Drosophila melanogaster: one gene and its partners. The protein of the gene in region 2 interacts with the protein of the main gene of each other region in a pairwise test. Each region holds a gene or a part of one and is shown on either strand. Other genes may lie near its edges. The genes, in order: CG3225, Pits, Mps1 and HHEX.

Region 1 (5,404 bases), on a different chromosome or scaffold from region 2:
TGCAACATCTGTTTTATATTATGATTCAAGCATATGTGGCAAGACATTCGTTGGCCAAAGTAACAAACTTAAGCTTAAATTATGCAAAAGTCATTCCACATGCACTATTACCAGTCTGTCGCACCTTTTTCGTATGCTAAATAGGTTTGCTTACATATGTATGTATGCGAAATTCAATATTATAATAAACGATTGCTTGTTCATTATTATCCATAACAGGACATCTCCGGCCAGGTGGTGCTCATCACAGGAGGAGGCGGTGGTGTTGGACGTTTGATTGCCCTAAACTTTGCTCGCCTTCAGGCCCGCATTGTCATCTGGGATATAAATCAAGAAGGTAAAATCACACCTAGTTGCTAATGACGCCGTCACAGCTTCTGCCAGGCGGGTCAAAAAACCCGACGGCTAGTGAAAGCTGTTACATTTACAATTTGATTAGCTAAACAATATTTGATCATAATTTTCCGCACAGCCATAAAGACAACTGTGGATTTGTTGGCCAAACATGGTTATGACAACTGCAAGGGCTACGTTGTGGACATCTCAGATCGGGAGCAGATCTACCAGCGTGCCAGCCAGGTGACCGAGGAGGTTGGTCCCGTCGACATATTGATTAACAATGCCGGTATCGTGTGCTGCAAACCCTTCTGGGAGCTGCACGATCGGGTCATCCAGAACACGTACAACATTAACATCATATCGCACTACTGGACCGTGAAAGCGTTTCTGCCTCACATGATGCGCAATAATCGTGGTCATATCGTTACTGTGGGCTCGGTAACTGGAATGCTGGGCACCTACGGATGCAGTGACTACGCGGCCACCAAATACGCCTGCATCGGTTTCCACGAGAGTTTGCTCACCGATCTGAAGGCCCATGGCTATGATCAAATCCAAATGAGTTTGATCTGCCCGTACTACATCAACACGGGCATGTTTTCGGGTGTTCGGCCGCGGATGATGCCCATGCTGGAGCCGCAGTATGTGGCGGATCGCATCGAGAACGCCGTGCGCTGCAACGAGGTGTGGTGCGTGCTGCCCAACTCTATTCGCCTGCTCACTCCTCTCAAATGGTAAGTAGTCTATTTAACATAGTTATATACAATGTAATTAATGCTGGTTTTCTCAGTCTTTTGCCCGCCAAAATGTGCTGGGAGCTGATGTCGCGTGTCATCCGTGGACCCGAGTCTATGATGATGTTTCAGGGACGAGGGCGCGTCGCCGCTGGTTAAACACACAATAGGAATCATCATATGGAATCCATTACCTAAGCTTAAGTTCTTTTTCAAGAGGCGGCATCGTTTCACCTATAATTTTACAATAAACTTAGTTATTTGATTTAATGAACTATTTTAATAGACTTACACCTATCATTAAGGCTTTAGTTCCTGCTAATCCCGCACTGTGGTCTGTTGGTAATAATGCGGCGCCAGCTCCGTCAGCCACTCTCTCTTGATTACGGTCACGTAGTTCATGAACAATTTCGTCGTTTGGAGCAGTTCCCCATAGACCACGTACTGAGCTTGAGGAAGTGTGTAGAGAGTGGAGTTCGGATGAATGGCCAGTTCAGTGCCGCTGCTGATTTGTCTATAAACTCCAGAGTGATGCAGATAGGCCACCTGTGTGAAGAAGCCGGCGGTGATGCACTTGCACAACTTTTCCACATCGCCCTTGCACGAGAAGATTGGAATGCCGTACTTCTTTCTGGCCACTGTGATGAGTTGCTCCCTCAGCGAGTGGGCCCTCTTAAGATTCCTGTAGATGAGGAAGTATTGGCCACAGAACTCCTTGGTCATGCCCTCCTCCACGAAGCCAGTGTAAGCGTTCAACATCGTAATAAAGTCCCCTTCCGCAACTTCGAATTTTCGATGTGCAATGCGTCCACTTTGTTGGGCAACCGCTGAAGCTGGGCGCGAAAATATAGACTGCACCTGCAGCAACGCAATGATGGTTATGATCTCCTCGGAGCAGCCCATCTGACCGGAAACATAGAGCATTTTGGAGAGCATAGCGCTGAAGGGGAGTTCGGCCAACAGGTAACCCACGGGCTTCGTCAGATTGCCCTGCTCATCGATGGCGTCCAAGGCAAATAGACTCTCCAGTGCGGAAAGTAGATTCTGTGCCGGTGGTGGCGATGGGAAATCAAAGCGCAATATGTTCCCGATGCCCAGCGCCTTTAACTGCAAGATAGCGCCGCTCAATTCGCTGCGTCGCATTTCGGGTGGCTGCCGAGGAGCTAGTGCTTCATAGTCTGATTTAGTGTACAAACGATAGACCTTGCCGGGACGCATACGACCCGCTCGTCCTGCTCTCTGGATGGCCGACGCCTTGCTGACGGGCACTATAACCAAACTGTCACTGCAGGTTTTGGGATTGTACCATTTTACCTTGACGTAGCCGCAGTCTATCACATAAACAATGCCCGGAATGGTGATGGAGGTCTCTGCTATATTCGTGGCCAGCACCACTTTGCGGGTTCCTTTGGGCGGGGTAAAGAATACCGACAACTGATCAGTGCTCGACATACTACCATACATGGGCAGCACCTTGAGATTCTCCTGTTCCGAACTGGCGATGTATTCGCGCAGAAGATCCAGCGCCTCCAGGACTTCCTCCTGGCCAGTTAGGAAGGCCAAAATGTCGCCAGGCGGCTCCTTTTGATGCAGTTTCCAGACGGTCTCCACAGTTTCCTTCACATAATCGGCGCAGGGTTCGTTCAGATAGAAATTACTCACAGGATGCATGCGACCTTCAATGCTTAGCTTAACGCTCACTTCGCCCGATCCTGGCCAGCTGAAGAACTCGCTGAAGAAGCTTGCATCTATGGTGGCCGATGAAATGATGAGCTTGAGCGAGCTGCGTTTGCGAAGGATCTTCTTGAGCAGTCCCAAAATCATGTCGGTGAGCATATTCCGCTCGTGCGCCTCGTCCACGATGATAACACCATATTGGGTGAGCAGCGGATCGGCTAGGACTTCCCTCAGCAAGATGCCCTCGGTCATGAACTTGATTTTGGTACAGGAGCTCATGCTTTCCAGGAAGCGAACTACATAGCCCACCGTGTCACCTACCAGTTCGCCGCGTTCCTGTGCCACGCGATTAGCCAGCGTAACCTGGAAATGAAGTCTTTAGTTTTAGATTTTATAGTTGCTTTGCTTTAGGATTACTTACGGTGGAAACGCGTCGTGGTTCGGTGATGCCAATGAGTCCCTTGGTGTGCCAGCCCCATTCATACAAATACTGTGGCACCTGGGTGCTCTTGCCACTGGGAAATATGAAAAACCACAGAGTTAGAAGCATTACTTTGAAGCTCATGGAATTCCATACAAACCTGCCTGTTTCACCCACTAGTATGACCACTTGATGCTTTTCCAAGCAGTAAAGTATTTGATCCCGGTACTGACGAATGGGCAAACGTTCCCTCTGTAATAATTTAAGTTTAATTTGTTATTCTAGCAAATGTTTACGAAATATTTTGTAAGCCCACCTGCTCCATGAGTCCCATATTGTGATTGACATTGAATACAAAGGCGGAGGACTGCTGTTCACCACCGGCACTATCTGTGATTGCATCGTCCGTCTCGGGTTTTAGGAACTTTGGCTTAAAAGTGCTCATTTTCAATTATTTACTTCGTTATAGATTCAGTTTTGAAATTAAATAAACAGCTGATGGACTCAATGCATTGGTGCAAAATACCAAAGCGCGCAAAAGAATGTTAGGAATTTCGTTTAATATAAACTAATGGTCACACTTTTATTTGGCGGGAAATTGCATTGTATTGAAATTTCGATTAACGATAACCATCAACTATATAATAAGTTGAATTGCCCAAAAACCTAAGTATTTACTTAATCACTAAGTATACAGTCGCCTAGTTGAGGTCTATAAGAAAAGAGGATAATCAAATTTCACTATATTTTAGTTAAGATTTAAAAATGCAAAATATTAGTTTTTAGAAATTGTTTGGCTAGTACCTCAAGCTTATACCTTTGGTACCCACAAATTATAATATATTTGATTTAGTCGACCATTTCACGAGCCCCAATGGTGGCAAATGTCCATAACATTCACCTGTATTATTCATGCACATGTTTTTGTCCATTTTGCGGGCACGTTGCAGCACCGACATGTCCCCTATTGCTAGTGAAAATAACTCTAATTGCCAGTGGCAAGGCCACTTTGCTCCTCTGCATACCCAGCAAACTCATTATGTACTATAAGGTCGCCCTGGCCACGTGTGTGTGTCAAAAGTGTCCCCCGAGTTTTGTGCAGCTGTCGGCGACAGAAGCGCCCGGCCAATTGCTTTTGAATAAATATTGTATTGTATCTCTCGAGCAACAAAACACACACATTGTTTTGCCCGCTTGTATTTTTTTTTTTGTATATATTTTGATTTATGCACCGTCAGTGGGTATTATATGCATGCCGCCAATATTGGGACGAGTAAGATGGCCGTCGATTCCACACATGCAGGACCCCCGTATTCTGCATTGACCCTGACATTAAGAACGCTCGCTTTAACTTTAACCCCATCCGATGCGATCCGAACCCAACCACCAATTTCAAGCCAAAGCAAAACACGTGCCCGACATGCACGTTTGACCAACCACATCCGCATGCCAGTGCTGAAACAATGGAGCCCAGCTCCACTCCACTCCACTCGACCCGAGCCCAGCCCCCATGGCGTATGAGTAATCCGAGAAAAGCTAATTAAAGGCCAGCGGCGAACTTCATGCCAAGGACGAGGCGCCAAGTCGCCAAAGCCAAGCGAAAGCCAAAAACTCTGCGAGCAGTTTGTCAACACCGCCGTCCGCGGAAAGTGCTTCAACTAAAAGGCACTGAGAAAAAATGTTTTCACTTTCCACTCAAGCTGATATCAGCATCACAGGTAAAGAGGTATCTTCGCTACATGAGAAAGATTATAGTTTCGAAAAGTGTTAAGAACGATGCTTCAGTATTTAGTACTACATCTTAAATTGCAAATACTAAAATATAATAATTTCCGCTGTGCATATGGATTAGTCATTTCATTTGCCTTCTATCCCACTTAATAGTAGTTAAGTGAATATTTAGTTACATTGCGGGTTATGGGAGGCTGTCACATTTTCGCACAGTGTGTATCTTGTCCGTTTGGCGTCCAGTTCCAGTTTCGGTTGCATATAAATTTTAATAGATGCGCCCAAGGCCAGAGTTTTACTGTCAAACGGCTGTCGGCACTCCACTGCCGGTATCCAAATTCCGATTCCCCCGTCTTTGGGCACCTGACTAAATGCCACAAAACTTAAAGGGCGGCATGAATGCTAACTGTTATTCCGGCTTTTACGAGCAAAGTTTCCTTGGAAATGCCAGTGGAGGGTACGTTCCTTTTGTTCTATCTACGTATTATAACTATAGTTTCGCGTT
Region 2 (5,363 bases):
CGTATACCAACTAAAATTTATCTACACCCAGGTTCGACTGTGTGCGTATGTGTGTGTGTGTGCAACTTGTTATCGCATAGCGTAAAACGGAGAAACAGCAGAAGAAGCAGCAGCGAAAACCAAAACAAGTTTAATGACGTTTTGCGCGCGCAGACAAGAAAGAAAAAACACAAAAAACAAAAGGTACACACACCAACACCAGCGCACGAAACCAGTTTGGAAAGAAGAGAAAAGCGACAGAAGACGGAGGGAGAAAGAGATAGAGAGCGAGAACATTACAACGTCAGCGTCGACGATTTTTGCACGTCTCTGTTTATATTACATTCTGCGGCCCTTTTTTCGTGTGCTTTTTGCGCTTTTTTTTCTCGCCGTTTTTTGTTATTGCCATTGCGACTGTTACGTACGTGCATGTAAACGAACACGTAGTTGTGTGCGCGTGTGTGTCTGCGCGGTACATGCACATGTATATTCCCTATATGTATATTGGCATGTGCGCATGCCTTTTAATGGCAAGGGTTAGCAGCCCCTTTTTTCCACAGAGGGTTGCAAAATGCGTTTATACGCTTCTTTTTCTGTTTGAATGTACATGCATGCATGTGCACGTATGCGTGTATGTGTGAGTTATACATACGCATTGGGTGGCGATAAGGACGCGCTGATAAGCAAATGAGTTATCTAATCTCCAACACAACGCTCCTTATCATCCATGCAAACGTAAATGTGTACGTGCATATACATGAGAAGCGCAGTCTTCTTCTAGCTCGCCTTCCAGTAAGGAGAGATAAGGAGCAGGCAATCACGCCGTTTCACTCTGCCCTGAATAAGCGGTATGTGTGCCACTATATCGCCGCCTCTCTTCCTCCCACTCCCCCACCACGACCTTCCACCCACATCCAGGCTAGAGCGAGGCAGAAACAGTGCTCTGTATCCCGCGATCACGGCTCATATTAAAAAAAAAAAGGCGGGGGATTGGTAAGAAACGGTAAACAAATACAGTGGCCGCCAACTTTTTCAAACTTAGGATTTAAGCAAATTTCCTATGTTTCCGGAGGATAAAATAGTGTTTAATTTTATCCAGCAAATCTTAGATTGAAATTAGCAAAAAAAAATTTCCTCTAACTCACTTGTTTGTTTAAACAAGTTTTTATTTTTGTTTGACATTGGCTATCAAAGCAAACTGAAATATCACCCCTCGAAGAGTTTTGTATTTGAAATATTTTGATAAAATATACTTTAGAAGATATCAAGTGTTCACTGTGGCTGGGAAACAACATCCCCCTGGTCACTCCATTTTTTAATCCATATCGCGTATTTCCCACTGGCGATTCGATCCGATCGCTATAAGTGATAAGAAATCCATCACTGATAGGGGATTATCCCAAATCTGTTTTCCACCACGATAGATAGTGTTTTGTACTATCATTTATAAAGCCAAATATTTATCAACGCGGCACTTTTGAGACTCTGATCACTTTACTCTAATTATTATGAAAGGTAGTTTTCAAGGTAGTTGAAACTACTCCTGCTTTTCCCGAATCCCTACTGCAAATGAAAAATTTTCCCATTACTTGCTGCAGCAAAGTTCTTTCTATTGGGTAACCACTGTGCCAAGTATTTTGAATGATCTATGTCATGTTTGCTCACCTGCTTTGAAGGTCGATGCATCGAAACTGGGCGCTCTGACCGGCTGCTGCTTATCACGGAGTCCGCTAAGCTGACGCTCGGGCACATAGCTGACCGCCGCTGGCAGGGATTCGCCACGCGTCAATGGCGGTCTGCCGCCCACGCCACTTGGATCGTCCATGGCGCTGCGCTTGATGCCGGGCGGACAACCGCCGGATACGCCTCCGCCGGCGGATAGGGAGTTGCCAGCACTGCCATCTGGCGCCAGGCCGTGTCCCGACTGCTGTTGCTGCTGGCTTACATCCACATCGACATCCTCGCTGGGCGGACGCTTTAAATTCACGGATAGGGCGGGCGGTAGGCTGCCACCGCCACTGCCGGCGGTGGGTACGCCGCCGCCGGGTGCACCGCCACCGCCGCGGGTCGCATTTGGCGGCAGGTGGTGGGGCGTCATGTGTGAAATGCGTACGGGTCGTACGCCGCCACCGGGGGCATCCTCCAGCTTAACGGGATAGTCCAGTGGCGGACCGATGCGTGGCACTGGCATTTGATAGGGCATCTGATGGTGATGATGCACTGCAGCAGCGGCGGCGGCAGCAGCAACGGCATTGCCCAGCGAACTGAGCGAACCGGCGCCCGACGGACCTGGACCACCACTTCCGGGCGGAGCACCCGGTGGACCGCCGCCACCTCCGCCGCGATGGGAACCCGGTCCTTGTCCCGGAACTGGACCGACTTGTAACTGTTGTTGCTGCTGTAGGACGACGGCGGCCGCTGCAGCGGCGGACACTTCGCCGTTCTCATGGGAACGCTGCTGTTTGCTGGCGGGATGGAGACGCTTCATTTGGCGGGCGGCGTCCAGCACCGCCTCGATGCGATCGGCGCCCTCATAGTTGACGCAACCGCGGCACACCGCCTCCGAGAAGTCATTGATCATCGCCCAGGGCATGCGGGGTAAATCGCACAGATAGCAGTGCTGCCTTTTCGTTTGCAGCGACATCCTGCTGCGTTTCTGGAAACTGTCAACTGGCAACTAGCAACTGTCAACTGTCAATTGGCAACTGTCAATTGGAAGCCCTGGATGGGCTGGATCTGGAAATGGGTTTGTGCTGTTTTAGCTCACTGGAATGGCTAACTGTTCCTTCCTGCTGGATTCCCAATTCCTATTATTTATTATTTTCTCCTTTTTTTTCGCTTTCTTTTTTCTTGTTTCAGCTTCTTTTCGGTTGTGCGTTGTAGCTATTTTTCTTATTTAGCATTTGTTATTCATGTTTTCGTATTGATTTTCGCACACACGCACATATACACGCGCGCACGCACGCATATTTCACCGCGCTTCCACCCGAAAAAAATTCACTTATGTTTTTTCCTTCAGCTTCAGCTTCTTCTTCTTCTTCTTTTCTATTGTGCTGCGCCGCGCTGCTCGCCAACACGCACGCACACAGGCACACACACCACACACCACACTTAGGCACGCGCGCCGCAGAGTGAAAGAGAGAGGGTGCGCGCGAGTAAGCGGGACACGTAAATGTACGACGACGCCAAAAACGTGTAGGAACAAAACGAACGATGAGATCGCAGCGACGCAACGAATGACTGAAAAAGCGACCGGACGCCACACAGCTTGCTGATAGAGTGTGGCCTTGGCTGGTATGTGAGAATATACCCCAGGGGCCAAGCGAAATGTACTAAAAAATCTTCGCTGCCGCAATGGGAAATACCAAGAAAATACCTGAAATACTGGCTTATATCAGAGACACGAACCTTTCAGTGGACTTCAACCAGGGTTGCCAAAGTGGCTGAGACTGTAGCGAAGACTTCAACCATGATAAAGCTAAGGAAATTTTAAATTTTCTTTAAAATTTAGCATCATTTTGAGCATAGTAATTCTACTATTTCGTATTAATATATATAGCTTTTAATATATTGCTCCTAATATTACGCCCAAATATTAAAAATAAACCCTTTTGGCTGTTTAAGTAATTAAAAATAATATTTATTTTTATTTTTAACCCCCTTTGGGGCTACGACCCTGCCAGCGTACGTGCCTGCACGTCATATTCACGAAACGGAATCTAGTGACGAAGTCCTTCCCCCAAAGTCCGCCTGTAAGTATACCATGTAAAGTTCGTGGATACACATCCGTTTTTCGTATAGATACCGAACGTATGTACATAGGATACAGTTATGTAGACCTTGAATCTGGTATGCTCCGTCTCTTTCGCTCGGCGAACAGCTGACTTAACAGAGCTCTGTAACTGTTAATGAAATTAAAAGCCCTCATTCCTAGCAAAAAAAAAAAAAAAAACAAGGACATCCGTAAAGCACTGCGCAGGACCACAAACTGCAAGCATGTATGTGTATGCATATCGTTGCATATATGTACATATGTATAGGCGAAAATGCTTGGGTGTTCGTATTCCTGGCGTTTGGCCTGAATCGATTTCCCGACCATGGTCTGGGACAAATTCCGTATCTGTGCGTACATCCTGTTAAAAGGAAATGCGGAAAAAGGAGCCACCAGATACAGAAACACACGAACAAGCAACGACCTCGTAAACGGGGTCCTTTCCTTACACCCCCACCTTTCCATACAGTCCCGGCCATAAGTTTATGTCCGTGCACGCGCAACTGTACTCGCTTCTTAACATTTCATTTGAGATTTTATTTATGAAATGTTTGGCTCAATTAAAGATATAAAAATATTCTTTAAATTGCCACAAAATTAAAATTCCACAATAAAGACACTAGAAAGTTTAAAAGTTTTTTTTTAATTTCCTCTTTTATTAACAAAAAATGTTTTAAGATTAAAATCAAAAGAGAATCTACGAACTACGTTTATACACAAGCTTTATTTGTAATTACAGACCTTTCGACTCCCGAATAAGTAGGCAACAAAAACTGCATTAGTTATAAACTTATTTACAAGTGGGTAGAAAATGTTGCTATACTGATTATATATGTTCAACTGTTAAAAGGCATAAAGAATTGAATCGAAAATTCTATAAGCGTTACTCAATTTTCGAAAAGCAGGCGTATAAACGTAGTTACAAGGTGGTGTGGGGTCAAAATACAACACATTAAATTAGCTGCATATAAAAAATATCGCACATATTTGTTGTATATAGATAGTTAAATGCTAGATCGGTTCGGCGCGGCCACTGTTCTACTGGCATACGTCCGTATAACAAGGGCCCGACTCAAATGTCTTATGTAAGCAGTTAATTGCAAGCGTTTCGATCCTATATGTATATAGGTTTAGGTATATAATGGCTATATAAAGTACACAGTATAACAGTATTAGGCTTGAGCGTGTGCGTTTCATTTGTATAACAGTTAGCGTGTGTGTGTGTTTGTATGTCTGTTCGTATCAATTACAACTAAAATTGCCTTTGAGCAAAAACATTCTTATATATTTAGTTATAGGAGTTAGACTTATTCTCGTCAATACAAAAAAGTTTGTTTCTTAGCATTGTTAATTATTGTTCTTGGAATGAGGGGACGGGGTGAATGGGTCGAGAATCGATAAATAATAAATTAGATTTAAGCACTAACATGGAATACGTTTATCTATATAATTATGGAATAGATATACAAATACATTTATATACGCTGTTTATCAAAAAATATTTAAACCACAATTTTTCTAGTTAAAGTTCTTTTCGTTCCTTTTGTCTTTTTTTTGCGGGTGGGATCTCCCTCTCTCGAGGATTCTTCAGATTCGTTCGTTTTTCGCATCA
Region 3 (5,550 bases), on a different chromosome or scaffold from region 2:
CAGAGTTTGTCCAACTTCCAAAAGAACAGCAACAGTAAAAAAGAAACAACTCTAACAATCTATTAAGTTTAAAGTTAATGTAACAAAAAAAAAAGGCGAGAAAAAAGTAAACCTAAAGCATGCCCCACAACAGCAACATTTAACATTTTATAGTAGCGAGAACCAACAATTATGAGAATGAAGAACTATGGAACGCTTTAAGAAATTATATACACATAACTAAAGCAAGATAATGATAACAATCGAAACTTGTGCAATGTTAAACGAGAAGAGAAGAAATGCTAGCAAAGGAAAAGTCCGACTCTGATTACAGAAACAGGCAATTTCCACCCAAGCCCTCCCAATAAAAAGCAAACCAACCCGGAAAAACCGCGAAAAATCCATTGCTGCTGCTACTTTCTAATTATTATTTAACACATACTTTGCATGCGATTATTATTTTTGTGTTACACTTGCATTTAAAAACGCGCTTTAAACAATTGTATATGTATCTTATGTTAAGCAAATGAATTTAAAACCCAGCTACTTAAAATGCAAATCCACAAAAAAATAAACAAAATAATAGTATGAATGTACGTATGCTCTTGTACTTGGGCCATTGTGAATTTTGTATGTTTTCCATTCATGTTTTCTGTTTTTGTGTTAACTTTTAATTTTCCGCCGCCAGGCAGCGCAAAGTATTTAATCCCAGGAAGAGCAAATGGCAGCAGCAACATTTAATTAAGCGTAAATAAACAAGAAAACAACTATTTTTATATAAAACTGAATGAGAACCTATCTTATAAGTAAACGCAAATTAAACACGAATGCTAACTAGCAATCTATTGTCGGAACCTGTTGCATGCGACATACTGAAAAATTAGGAAAACCAACAAATTCAAGCCCATCAGCAACCACAACAAACAAAAGAACGAGCTATAACAGCATTATAAGGATTTATGATGTTTAATTTACGATAAAATGAGAATTAAATATATACACACACATATGAGAAAGACATTTGACCTTTGACATTTCACTAATAAATAGCTGAGCTTTCGTGCTTAATTGCTGTTGGCGGTTCTGCTGGGTATCTGCAGGTTCTGCAGCGGAATGATCATATGGAATGGGTACTGTAGTAGTTCGGTGCACGACGGCCGCTTTTTGGGATTCAACTGTAGGCAGTTCTTGGCCATCTGCAAATAGAGCAGAGACAGTTGTAAACTTGGATTCAATTTATTTATAATTTTAGTTAGCTTATGTTAGTCTAAAAGCCTCATATTGCGCAACACTCACATGAACCAGCATGATGGGATAGTAGGGCGGAATGGCAGGATACTCGATGCTGGTGCCCGGTGTGGTGATTGCACTCATCTTGGCATAGACGTTTCGGATGTGGCCGAACGGTGTCTTTTGGTAGAGTAGCAGGTAAAGGATGCAGCCCAGCGACCACACGTCCGATTTGGTCGAGATCTTGATCTTCGGCTGATCGGCTCTGCGCATCGGGCTATTCCCCGTGGAGGTGTCCGTCAACGCCTCCGGACTAATGTAGTTAAAGGTGCCCGCCTGCGAGAATTTGATGATGCTCGTCGAGTCCACAGCGATATTGCTGGCTATGCCAAAATCGATCAACTTCAGTCTGCCGCTGACCATCAGGAAATTTGCCGGCTTGAGATCCGAATGGATGACACCGTGTTGGTGAATGTAGTTGACCGCTTGCAGCATTTGGTACAGGATGTTCATCAGGCTATAGAGAGGAAGGTTGGTGGTGTAGCTCTGCAGGATCTTGTTCAAGTCGCAGTCACCTTTCTCCATCACCATGTACAGCTTGGACTCCTCGCGCACAAGTTGACTAAGGAAAAAAAAGTACTTAAACAGTGACGTTAACAAGAAGTCAGTATTTAGAAATATTTACTAATCGTAAAGTGCCACAACACAAACGTTCCCTTGTAGCTTTGCCAGAAGTTTGGTTTCGTTTAGATATCCCTGCACCACTTGTGGATCGGCCTGCAGATCCACCACCTTCAGGGCGAACTCATTTCCGGAATCCGATCGGCGTGCCAAAAAAACAGAGCTGGAGCCGCCACAGCCCAGTTTCTTATCAATCGTATACTCATGATTCTTGATTTTTAAAATATTAGATGTCTTGTGGGAAGGCTGCTCTGGAGGTACAGCAACTGCGGGAATCGATACCAGCTCCTTTGGTTCCACATTATCCACTTTGTCTGGCACGTTATCCTTGTCCGACTCCCGGAAAACATGATCTAGGGACTTTTTGGAAGGATGCTGACTCTTTGGTGGTTCTGCCTTTTTCGGAGGCTCCGGAATGTCCGGGCTTTCTGTGATGGTGTCGCACAGGGAGAAGCTTATGCTATCGGAGGCCACTGGAGCAGCACGACTCACGGTCATAGGTGTTTGGAAGAGCACTTTCTGCGCACGGAAGTCATTGGACACCGCACTCCGACTTTTTCCCGCCAGTGTGGAACCAATTGTTCGTACTTGGGGGGTAATGAAGTCTGCATCCGGCTTCGTCTTCGAGGTGGAGGGTAATTCATTACGCAGTGGCGTCTCTGTCTCTTGGAGTGGGCGCCTTTCGGTGGCACTTGGTGCAGCTTGAAGCGTGGGTGCTGTCTTTTTGGCCACCTGTTTTTCCGAATTCGCAACAGGGGATCCTTGACTGCTGCAATTGATGCCCATGTCGTTGAATCTTCCCAGGAACGAGAGATTCGAATCGGATTGCTTAAGGGGGGCGGCACTTGGTGTTCTACGAGTGGTTATGTTGCTGTTGCTGTTTGTTAACTCTTGGGATGGGCTCAGCACAAAGGAATCGTTTAGGATGGCGCAGTTAAGGTTGTGATTGCTCTTGATGTCCTCCTCGTCACTGTCCGAATCCATCATAGTCAACTCGGACACTCGGCGAGGTCTAGAATCGATAAAAACGTTGTATGTAGAAGTAATGAACATTTCTAGGTGATCTTGTAACAAAAATCCCTCGACTTGTGGGTTAATATAGATTAACTTTTAGGGTATATACTAAGCCTAGAAGATACAGGTTAGTTTCGATGGACAGACCAATTTGGAAAGAAAAGATCTAGGATTCCTGAAAGAATTCATGGAAAATTAGATCCTTGCAGACTCAGGAGGACTTATGTATGGAGAACAGGAGATGTCATGCGATACTGGACATTGCTGTCCCAGTTCTTACAGCATATTTATGGGCAGGGGATGCGGTTCGTTCTCCTTGCCCCTCGTTTGGACTTGGAAAGACGCCACCGGCTGCTGTTTTCGTTCTCCCGCCGCCGCTTGTCGTGGTCGGTATGGCGTGTTAAAGTCGTCCTCGGAGTCGGAGTCCAGTCCCAGTGCCATCATGTCCTTGGTGCGGCGGGGCACAGGCGTGGTCATCTTGCAACCCGATTTATTCTGCCCGACAAATAGTTAAATATCCAATTGCAAATCAAATGCGGGGTTTAAATTTATTTTTTATTCAAGTGTGACCAAAGTTCAAAATTTAAAACATCCAAAGCGCGCTGAATGAAGCCTTTAATAGTTAATAAAACTTAAGTAGCCGAAGGCTAAGTTTTAAAATAATTAAACGAAAATGAGGATTTAAATAAATGTTTAATATTTTAAATTAAGAAATATTGAAAACTACCTAAATTATAATTTAGTGTTGACAACAAGCAAATATAAAAGCACACTCTTTGAGTGAGGGAGAGTGATGTATAAAATACATCAAAATGATTTAAAAGTAAGAATGGCTTAAATAAATAAATTAGATATTCAAATTCTAACAGTAAGTTTATTGTTTACATTTTAGGGTTGTCTTGTTTTTCATGGTCATCACAGAGCTGCCACCCTGAAAAAAGCAATATTTTGGCAGTGCTGCCACATCCAAGGAAAATAAGTGTTGTTTTCCTGCCGACAAATAAACAAAGCAGCAATAGTTCGAAAACTACGCATTCTAGAGCAGAGCAAATGGAGCAACCAGCAACTGGAGGCGCCGCTGTCCAACCGGGCGTGTCCCCAGCGCACATCCACGACACGGATCAGCTCCTGGACCCCGTCCTCTTCTCCAACGACAATGGAAGCTACAAGCTAAATACAGTGCCCGCATTTAGGTGAGATTTTATGCGGTGTACGGGGGAGAGACCTCAGCCGGCGGCAGTGAATCATCCATGGAGCTTTCAAACGACCGATAATGCACATAATTTAATCCATTCTCTGTCCACCCGTAGCCTTCATCTGGTTATCTCCACTGCAATCTCCATTGTGGGGATCGTACTTGCAGCCTCGTTTCCAACCGATCGGCGCTGCGATGCATACTTTATAATGCTCTACCTACGGGCCACCTTCTGGGTCATCACATATGTAAATATACCAATCAGCAGTCTGTCAATCCCGACCTGCCTCAATGTCAACGGTTTTTACAGCTCTTCGATCACTTCGTAAAGAAGCAACACGACAATCTACGCATGCAGGGCTATCACGACTTTCACCGCGAGACTAACATGCAGAAGGGGATTCCCCTTCAGCTGGTATCCCTGTGGAACTCCATGCTGCTTGCTGTCCAGGCCCTAATCCACCACTTCTATGCGGAGAACTTTTGGGAACATTGCGCCGCCGGGTGGCTGTCGCCGGTCAGCTATGTGACCGCCTTCACCGTGGCCGAGAATCTGGTGCTGGCCGTTTCCCACAGCTTATATATTGGTAATGAAGTAACATAGTATCTAGTCAGCGATAGTGAGGGAATCTACTTAGTGTCATGGTATGACTTTTATTTTTATTTTATTTTATGACAGATCGAGCTATCATCATTTTTTTAATATATCTGTGTGTATATATATTGAAATGACGATGGGCAACATTTTATTCAAATAGTTTATATAATGACATAATATAGTAGTCGGGATGGCTAGGTATTTTTTTTAAACTGATTAAGTGACTTGCAAGCAATTGTAATACGCAAAAAATGAGTCAGAGCCGCTTAAATAATCCAGGTATTTAAAATTGAAGTGATTCAGTACAGCCACTAATTAAGTTCGTTCTTTCTTATGGTTCCAAAGCGAAAGATTTTTGATTAAGAACCAAGTAATTTCAGGTATAAAAGTTGTCATAGACATGGCTAAAAATTCGTTACCCATTTCAGACAAGGTGCGTAAGTTCAACAGCGCCAAGCTGGCTCCGGATGTTTTGCGTGGTGCGGACCGCGCCGGCGGTTCCCTGGGCCTCATGCAACCAGGAGGCGACACAGAAGAGCTTCTGGAGAAGCAGGCCGACCTTATCGCCTATCTGCGTGACCATACACACAAGCTCAACCAGAAACTGCATCAAATGCAGACCAACGTGCGACCAGTGAGGGCACCACAAATTCCTTAAAGACAAATCAAATAACTATATAATTTTACGTATCATAATTTTACTGGATGTTCTCTTTTTATTCGTTTATACTTTGTTCATGGCGAAGAAATATTCTTCAAGTAGATCAATTGCAAAAATGCAAAAAATGTAATATTCAATTGTAAATACAGAGAACGAATTATAAATCCGCAATCAAGGACTATGACCATTAAA
Region 4 (6,878 bases), on a different chromosome or scaffold from region 2:
GGGAGGAGGAGTACAGCGAATCGCCGGCGGTGGCGCAGGATCTCAGTGCTCCCCGAAGAGATAACGTCTCCCAAACGGCCATTGACATGCTTGCCCAGCTCTTTCCGCAGCGTAAGCGATCTGTCCTGGAGTTGGTCCTCAAGCGCTGCGATCTCGATCTGATTCGGGCCATTGAGAATGTCTCGCCCACTGGCAAGTCCTCGCCAGTGGATGTCACCAGCAACCAGTTGCCCAGCCAGGAGCCGGGCATGTTGACCACTATGCCACAGCCCGCGCCGCCCAGGAGCAGCGCCTTTAGGCCCGTGATAACAGATCAGGTAAGCGACCTAACTGCATAGTGCAAATTGTATAAAGTACCTTTTAGTTATAAGTGTACTTAAGTGAATATACCGGTTATTTCTATAGTATTATATTCTATAGTATACAGCAAATCTGTAACAGGTGTTTTGTGTTTTTACTTAAGTTCAACGGTCTGTATTTCCGCTTCCAGAATTCAATCAAGTCACGATTTGCGTGGTCCATGGAAGTAGGAAGTACCTAATGAAATATTTATTTAAGTACATACAAAATCTTACCTTTCAGTACCAGAGCAAATCGGTGGTGGAGCTAAAGCCGCCGGTCTTTGGAGGCAGTGCATCAGCGGCGGCGGCAGCGGCCATTTGTGCGTACCCCAAGTGGTTTGTGCCGCTATCCTTTCCGGTGACCATGGGTCACCTCTCCAATCTGGCGCCAAGATGCACCTTGCCCAATTGCGCCTGCTTGGACAGCTACCAGTTCCACTAGGAGACCACCCATCTAGTACTTACTAACTCGCATAACTATAGTTCTAATAAAATAAATTTATTTATCCTAACTACAAGCTAAACTAACTTATGAGTCAATGGGCCATCCTCTAGCTTCACTTGGGCGTCTCATCCGCCTCGCCTTCGTCTTCGTCGTCGTCCTCATCGTCCTCGGACAGATACATCCGATCCTCCTCGTCGCTTTGTTGGCCACACCTGCTTCCGCTGCCAAGATTCAACACGGGAACACTGCTGCTCGAGGCGCTGGAGGGTGATCCCACGGCAGCGCCTGCTATGGGTCCTTGGGCGGATGCACTGCGCTTGCTGAGATTGGCTCGTCGCCACTTGGCGCGCCGGTTCTGAAACCAGGTCTTCACCTGGCGGTCGGTCAGCTTGAGTTGGAGGGCCAGATGACGCCGTTCCTCCGGCGACAGGTACTTGGAGCTGGCGAAGCGAGCCTCGAGATTTTTGGTCTGCTGGGAGGTGAATCTGATCTGGCCGCCTTTTCGCTTCACGCCGAAGTTCGACATGTAGAAGCTGGCCGCCGGATAGGCATTGCAGTAGAGGGCGGCTGCAGCGGAGGCAGGATTGGGGAATCCTATGGATTAAAAAGGAAGACAGTTTGTTTTAGATTACAATTGCTGAAGAGGTTACAGAACTAACTTATTGTTAACACTTCACTTTGTGAACAAGGGTTTCCTATATCAGATGAGAAATATTTAAACTAAATATTTCATTGTTAATACGATCTTAATTAAAGAACTAATGACATTATAGACCCACTTCAGAGTTTATCAAAAGCTGCCATGAAAAAGTCGAGGACAATCGATTTCTTTGAATAACGATTTTGAACCATCTGCCCGATATAAAGTGGCGCAATCATTGGATTGTGATTGGTGGCTCCATTGGCCCGGTTTTCCCTATCTCCGCCCACCCGCTCTTATCAAAGTAATCGGACACAACAATTGCGAGTGGTACAAGTGTATGGGTGTTGTATCAGTATCGGAGAATATGTCAACGCCCACTTGTAACTGGATGACGACTTGCGAATGGTGGCCATTGCGAAATGGATCGACTGTACGCCGAGATTTCGTAGCAATTGGGCGAAATCAATTGGCACCCGAACGGCAATCCGATTGCGAACCTATCTGCACCTATGTACATACACCTATGTGATAAGGAAGGTGGCCTCTTTTTTTTTTTTTAGTTAAGGTAACGGAAATTCGCACTTGGCGCATATTTGGAGTGTGCTCCATCGCTGAACTAAGCTGATATTTGGGGACCCAGTTACCTCATTGGTGAGGCGATCTGGCCAAGAACCCTTGGAAATGGCCAAATGCCATTAAATAAATAACATCCGATTGCAGATGCCATAATTTAAATCGTTACAAATAGACTTATTCATGTTTATTTTTATTAAGTGGCGTATTCGGGAGTGATAAGGCCGCAGAGCACCCTTATCTTCTTCCCAGCGGCATTTAATCGCTGAAAATTGGATTTGTTATTATTTTATAATGTGCGTGTCCGATTGAAGGAATAATATCATATCAGGTACTTGTCGCCAACACCACCACACCCGCCTCCGCCCCTAACCATTTGCCCCTTGTCCAGGTGGAACGAGTGTCGGGAACGGACGGGCTTATCGTAATCAAATGGCAATCGTGGCTATAAGATGATGGACAGCGCCTATTAATCGCCTCTAATAGCATTTTTGTTTAGATAAGCCAAACAAATCGGAAATCGGGATAGCAGTACAGTTGAAGTGCCCTATACACGACGATACTCCTATCTGCATTGTGTGATCAGTATGGCATAGAGCAAGCTAATCAATACTCCTTTTTTTTTTTTGAGGCGTAGTATGATCCTAACTCAGTTGGACTCATCATAGATATATCCTCAAGACGGGCATATTGGGAACAGAAAGGTGCACTTAGATATTCCATTCCACTATAATGTTGTATTGATTCCTTCCTATTTCACTACAATTATATCGAAAGATACTGCCTGTGATAATTGTGTGTTATCCAAAGGTTTAAATGAGTATGATTTCTCACAGTCCGTCTAATTCGCAGCAGCTCGATTTTCCCAAATCAACAGCTCAATGCCTTTCAATGAAAACTAACTGTCACTTAAATATCCATAGATATAGTTTCTGCTGTCTCTCACCTGAATTTCAAATATTTGTCACTTCTGATAAGCCACCGAAATATTTTCCGATCTGAATGGGGCATTTGTACTGCGAGGGGATGGAATTCGGGACTTTGACTTTATCAGCATTGCTAGGGCTAATCTACCGTTACACCACCGCCCAGAAAACCAACCGGGAAATGCAGTTTTTGGGGCGGGGAAAATGTGATTTCGAGTGGCATTGGCGCCAACACTTGACTTTGACAAATACCCAACTGCACCACAACACACACACATTAATCATGTTTATGGCCCATTTTGTGTGGGATCCCCATTGTAATATTCGGTGGTCCGGGCACTTCGGACTTAGGCTAGCTTAGATATTTGGTATTTAAATGGGGATTTCAGGCAACACCTTTCCCATGGCGATCAATTTCCATGTGTCAACTTGATGAGCGAGATTAAGGTGTCAGCATGGGTAGGTTCAATGACTTGAACTTGGTAGTGTCGAATCAATCCTAGTCTTTGCTAAAAACTGTGAGAAAGTCTAATAGAAACTATGGTTCCAAGCTTCATGAATAAGAATTTAAGAATAGGGATTTAACATATCATACTCTGAGAATGCTTCTGCCTTTATCTGCATTTTAGTGTTTAATTGATAATTGTAGCGCTTATTCATTCATATTCAGGTGACTCATTTCCGGTCATTTGATAGTATGATGAAATATGCTAATGAGGTCAAACGACTAAATTGTTGATAGACATCATTGGGCTAATAGATTTCTCAAAACCGCATTAATTAATATATTAGTCAATTATTTTATGAGCTTGTCAATAACTTGACCTAAGGGTTTCAACTGCGTTTGCATGTATGTATACAGCTCGAATAATTGAATAATTTTGATCTTATTCTAGAATTTTTTTTAATAAAGAAATGCTGTATTGTCTTCATTCATAATGTCGAATAAATATACTATACTTCTTGGCCTTATAACTGCTTTACAATCTTTTGAATTTGCTGAGATTAGATTGCATATAATTTAATATTTCATTTCTATACCTTTTCTATAGCTCTGTGGAAATACCATAACTTTATAATAAATTTGTAATGTCTTCTCCTCATGCACCCTTATTTTAGTGAATGATTTATCATAAATTACCACAAAAATTAAGCAATTATCTTGAAAATGAATCTTTATCTTTTAGGACATTCAACACCCAACTAAAATACATGTTAACCCCACTAAGTAGGTATTCTGAAGTACTCACCTTCGCAGTCCATGGTAAATGGACTGTATTGATCACAATAGGCTGTTGGCTGAACAGCGGCTGCGGCGGCAACAGCGGCCGCCTGGAAGTGGGGCATGAAGAGCGAGGGATTCTTCTGGAGCTGCAGCACCTGCTGGTAGAAGAGCGAGGCGGGATCCGGGTAGATGGGATTGAAGCGCAGCGAAGTGGGAGCCAGGACAGCACTGGAGTCCATACTCTTCATGGCATACTGGGCGGCAGCTGCCTCGCGGGATAGATCGTAGATGTTGGTGGCGGACGATGGAGAGGGTGTAGGCGCCGCGGAGGATGATCCAGTGGCCAAGGATGCCTTGGGCATGGCCAGTGCGTGTGGAGTAGCTATGCCTGCTGTTACCGCCACGGGACTTTGAGAGGAGCCTCTGCGCGATTGAGATCGATGCGAGGAGCTCTTCTGCTCCAAGATATTCTCAATGGAGAAGGCGGCCTTGCTGGACTTGGTGGCGATATCCATATTGGTGGATTCTGAGAGCGGTAGTAACGAACTGTAGATACCGATTGATTGGGTCCGGAGCGATCGAAGCGACTGCGTCGGCCGCAGGCGATGAACTAATGGCCACCAGCTGTAGGAGCCGTCGCAGAGCCCATGGGCGCTATAAATTGTACCAAATCTGATTTCACAGAATATAATAGATTGTACCTATAATGTTGTGCTAATGGGTAGATATCAATATTAACAATAATAGAGCGGTATGTAGATATGCCGCGCATGGGAGATAGTGCCGAGCTACCGGCCATCGATTGATAAGCGAGTGGTGGTTGGTTAGGCGCTCCACTGCCTCGATGGCACTCCACTCCACTCCACTCGATTCCTATTCCCAATACCCAATACCCATATTCCAATTTCCAATTGCAGGCGGCGACAGCTCGACATCGGTACGCGGTTGGACACCCAATCGGCGATCGTTGTATAAATCACAGTCCCTGCTCGCCCGCTTATTGAGCTGCCAACCCATCGAACCCACCACCCAACCACCCAACCACCCTCCCCCAGAACGCCTCCCACTCGGCGGGTCGGTGCGTTTGATCGAGTAATTGTTAATCACCCCTTATCGGTATCGTTACCTGGTTTCAGCTCTCAGCTACTGTTTGGCTATTTTACTCTGTTGATTGTTGTTGTAAACAAATTAAAATTGCCCCAAAAGGCACCCCCCACCCTACCCCCTACCAACACCATCAGAGAGCCATCGCTTTGATTGAGTAATCGAGTTTGTGTTATGATTTCGGCCATGGTGCCGTCCCTCTCTGCTCTTTGGGAACAATATATGCGTCTGTATACCTGGGGCATGGATAGGTGTTTCGGGGTGTCTTATCAGTTGTACTCGGGCTCCTCGTAAAGCCTCTCAGATGATGGATTACTTTTGATTTCGGCTTGGGCCGGGTGATAAAATGGAAAACGCACAGCCCATAAATGCCTTTAATTGTTGTTATTGTTACTGATAGATACCCCTTTGATGTTGTTTTTCAGGTCGCCCCAGAAATTGGTACCTTCGAGATAAGTTTTGGGCCTCGACGAGTTTCGGGAACAATGAAAATCTTTAGTTTCCGCTGGTGGAAAGGATGTTATCATGTCTTCGGTTCACACGATGAGTAGAAAGTAAAGAGTTAAAAGTTCTTCAAGTTTTGTGATTTTGCTAAATGGTGACTACTTTAAATTGGCAGGAGTTCAATCGAAACTGTATGACTTCACTACATATGACAATGACTCAAATTCATGTGATATTTGGCAATAAACCTATTTCTTTTGATATGATTCGCTGAAAAGTGATTTAATGAATTGCAAATAGAATTTTCGGGGGTTCTTCGTTGAAAAGGGGCAGTAAACTACAGTCAATCGATTGGTGATTAAAATTTTATGACATCAAAATTTTAAAAATAACTCTTTGAACATCATACATATATTATATTTTATGTTTCTGTTCGCATAATAATTGATATACCTTAATGGAAAGCACCTTGACTGAAAAAGAGATTAAAACATTTAGGAAACTAATTTATGCAAAGCCTGCTTTCCAAGATATGAAGGAAAGGAAGCCCATACAACATGCTACCGAGTGCACTTGTAATCCCCGGACATATCACTTCGACGCTTCATCATGAGCAGACACTTGTTGCTCTGCTAACTGATAGTCAGTTGTGTGATCCCCGACAAAATCCCATCGATATAACGTTTTGCACCCGAAAAACCCAACTGACGGCCATTTTGTGACATATCACAAGGTGAGTATTCAAATTTATCAACATGAATGGTTCGAATAGAGTATTCGGGGGTCTGATGGTTGGTCAGAAGGAAGCTCTCAATGGTAAGTAATGACCATTCAAAAAGTATTTTGTACTTTACAGAAACAAATTATAACATAATAATGAATAGTTAATAATGAATGGTGAATGGTGATAAAAATAAAATCGTTTTTCGGTGCTATGCGATAACTAAATGCGACCAATTCGAGACATTGACGAGGCCTACTGCTCGATAAGAAGCCATGGCCTGGGGGGCTTATGGTCGTCAAGTGAGGCTAAATTATTAGCAATTATCAGGAGACAAACGGTTTGAAATGACTTCGAAATTGGGCATAAATAATTGTGGCACGCATTAATAACAGCAAAGAAAGAACCGGCTGAATTTGTAATCCCCTCCAATGGGCATGTGTTTCGATGACAAGA

The links.
Region 1: the proteins of Pits (region 2) and CG3225 interact in a two-hybrid assay, tested with the Drosophila melanogaster proteins (one large-scale study listed by BioGRID).
Region 3: the proteins of Pits (region 2) and Mps1 interact in a two-hybrid assay, tested with the Drosophila melanogaster proteins (one large-scale study listed by BioGRID).
Region 4: the proteins of Pits (region 2) and HHEX interact in a two-hybrid assay, tested with the Drosophila melanogaster proteins (one large-scale study listed by BioGRID).

Annotation. Positions count from the first base shown.
Region 1 is NT_033779.5:4,814,551-4,819,954, forward strand, and holds CG3225 (uncharacterized protein), read right to left. Parts: upstream 3,696-5,404; 5' UTR 3,617-3,695; coding exon 3,488-3,616; intron 3,424-3,487; coding exon 3,332-3,423; exon of another isoform or gene 3,266-3,331; coding exon 3,172-3,265; intron 3,114-3,171; coding exon 1,392-3,113; 3' UTR 1,366-1,391; intron 1,342-1,365; exon of another isoform or gene 1,308-1,341; 3' UTR 1,233-1,307; coding exon of another isoform or gene 1,130-1,232; 3' UTR 1,074-1,129; downstream 1-1,073. Other genes in the region: CG15629 (uncharacterized protein), read left to right, coding at 220-337, 473-1,073, 1,130-1,232.
Region 2 is NC_004354.4:12,579,928-12,585,290, forward strand, and holds the start of Pits (protein interacting with Ttk69 and Sin3A), read right to left. Parts: upstream 3,267-5,363; 5' UTR 2,624-3,266; coding exon 1,645-2,623; intron 1-1,644.
Region 3 is NT_033777.3:17,669,202-17,674,751, reverse strand, and holds Mps1 (monopolar spindle 1), read right to left. Parts: upstream 3,482-5,550; 5' UTR 3,382-3,481; coding exon 3,185-3,381; intron 2,903-3,184; coding exon 1,895-2,902; intron 1,832-1,894; coding exon 1,276-1,831; intron 1,204-1,275; coding exon 946-1,203; 3' UTR 924-945; downstream 1-923. Other genes in the region: CG7523 (uncharacterized protein), read left to right, coding at 3,955-4,097, 4,215-4,347, 4,410-4,686, 5,126-5,355.
Region 4 is NT_033777.3:21,076,016-21,082,893, forward strand, and holds HHEX (hematopoietically expressed homeobox), read right to left. Parts: upstream 4,912-6,878; 5' UTR 4,669-4,911; coding exon 4,179-4,668; intron 1,381-4,178; coding exon 899-1,380; 3' UTR 847-898; downstream 1-846. Other genes in the region: dmrt93B (doublesex-Mab related 93B), read left to right, coding at 1-317, 583-783.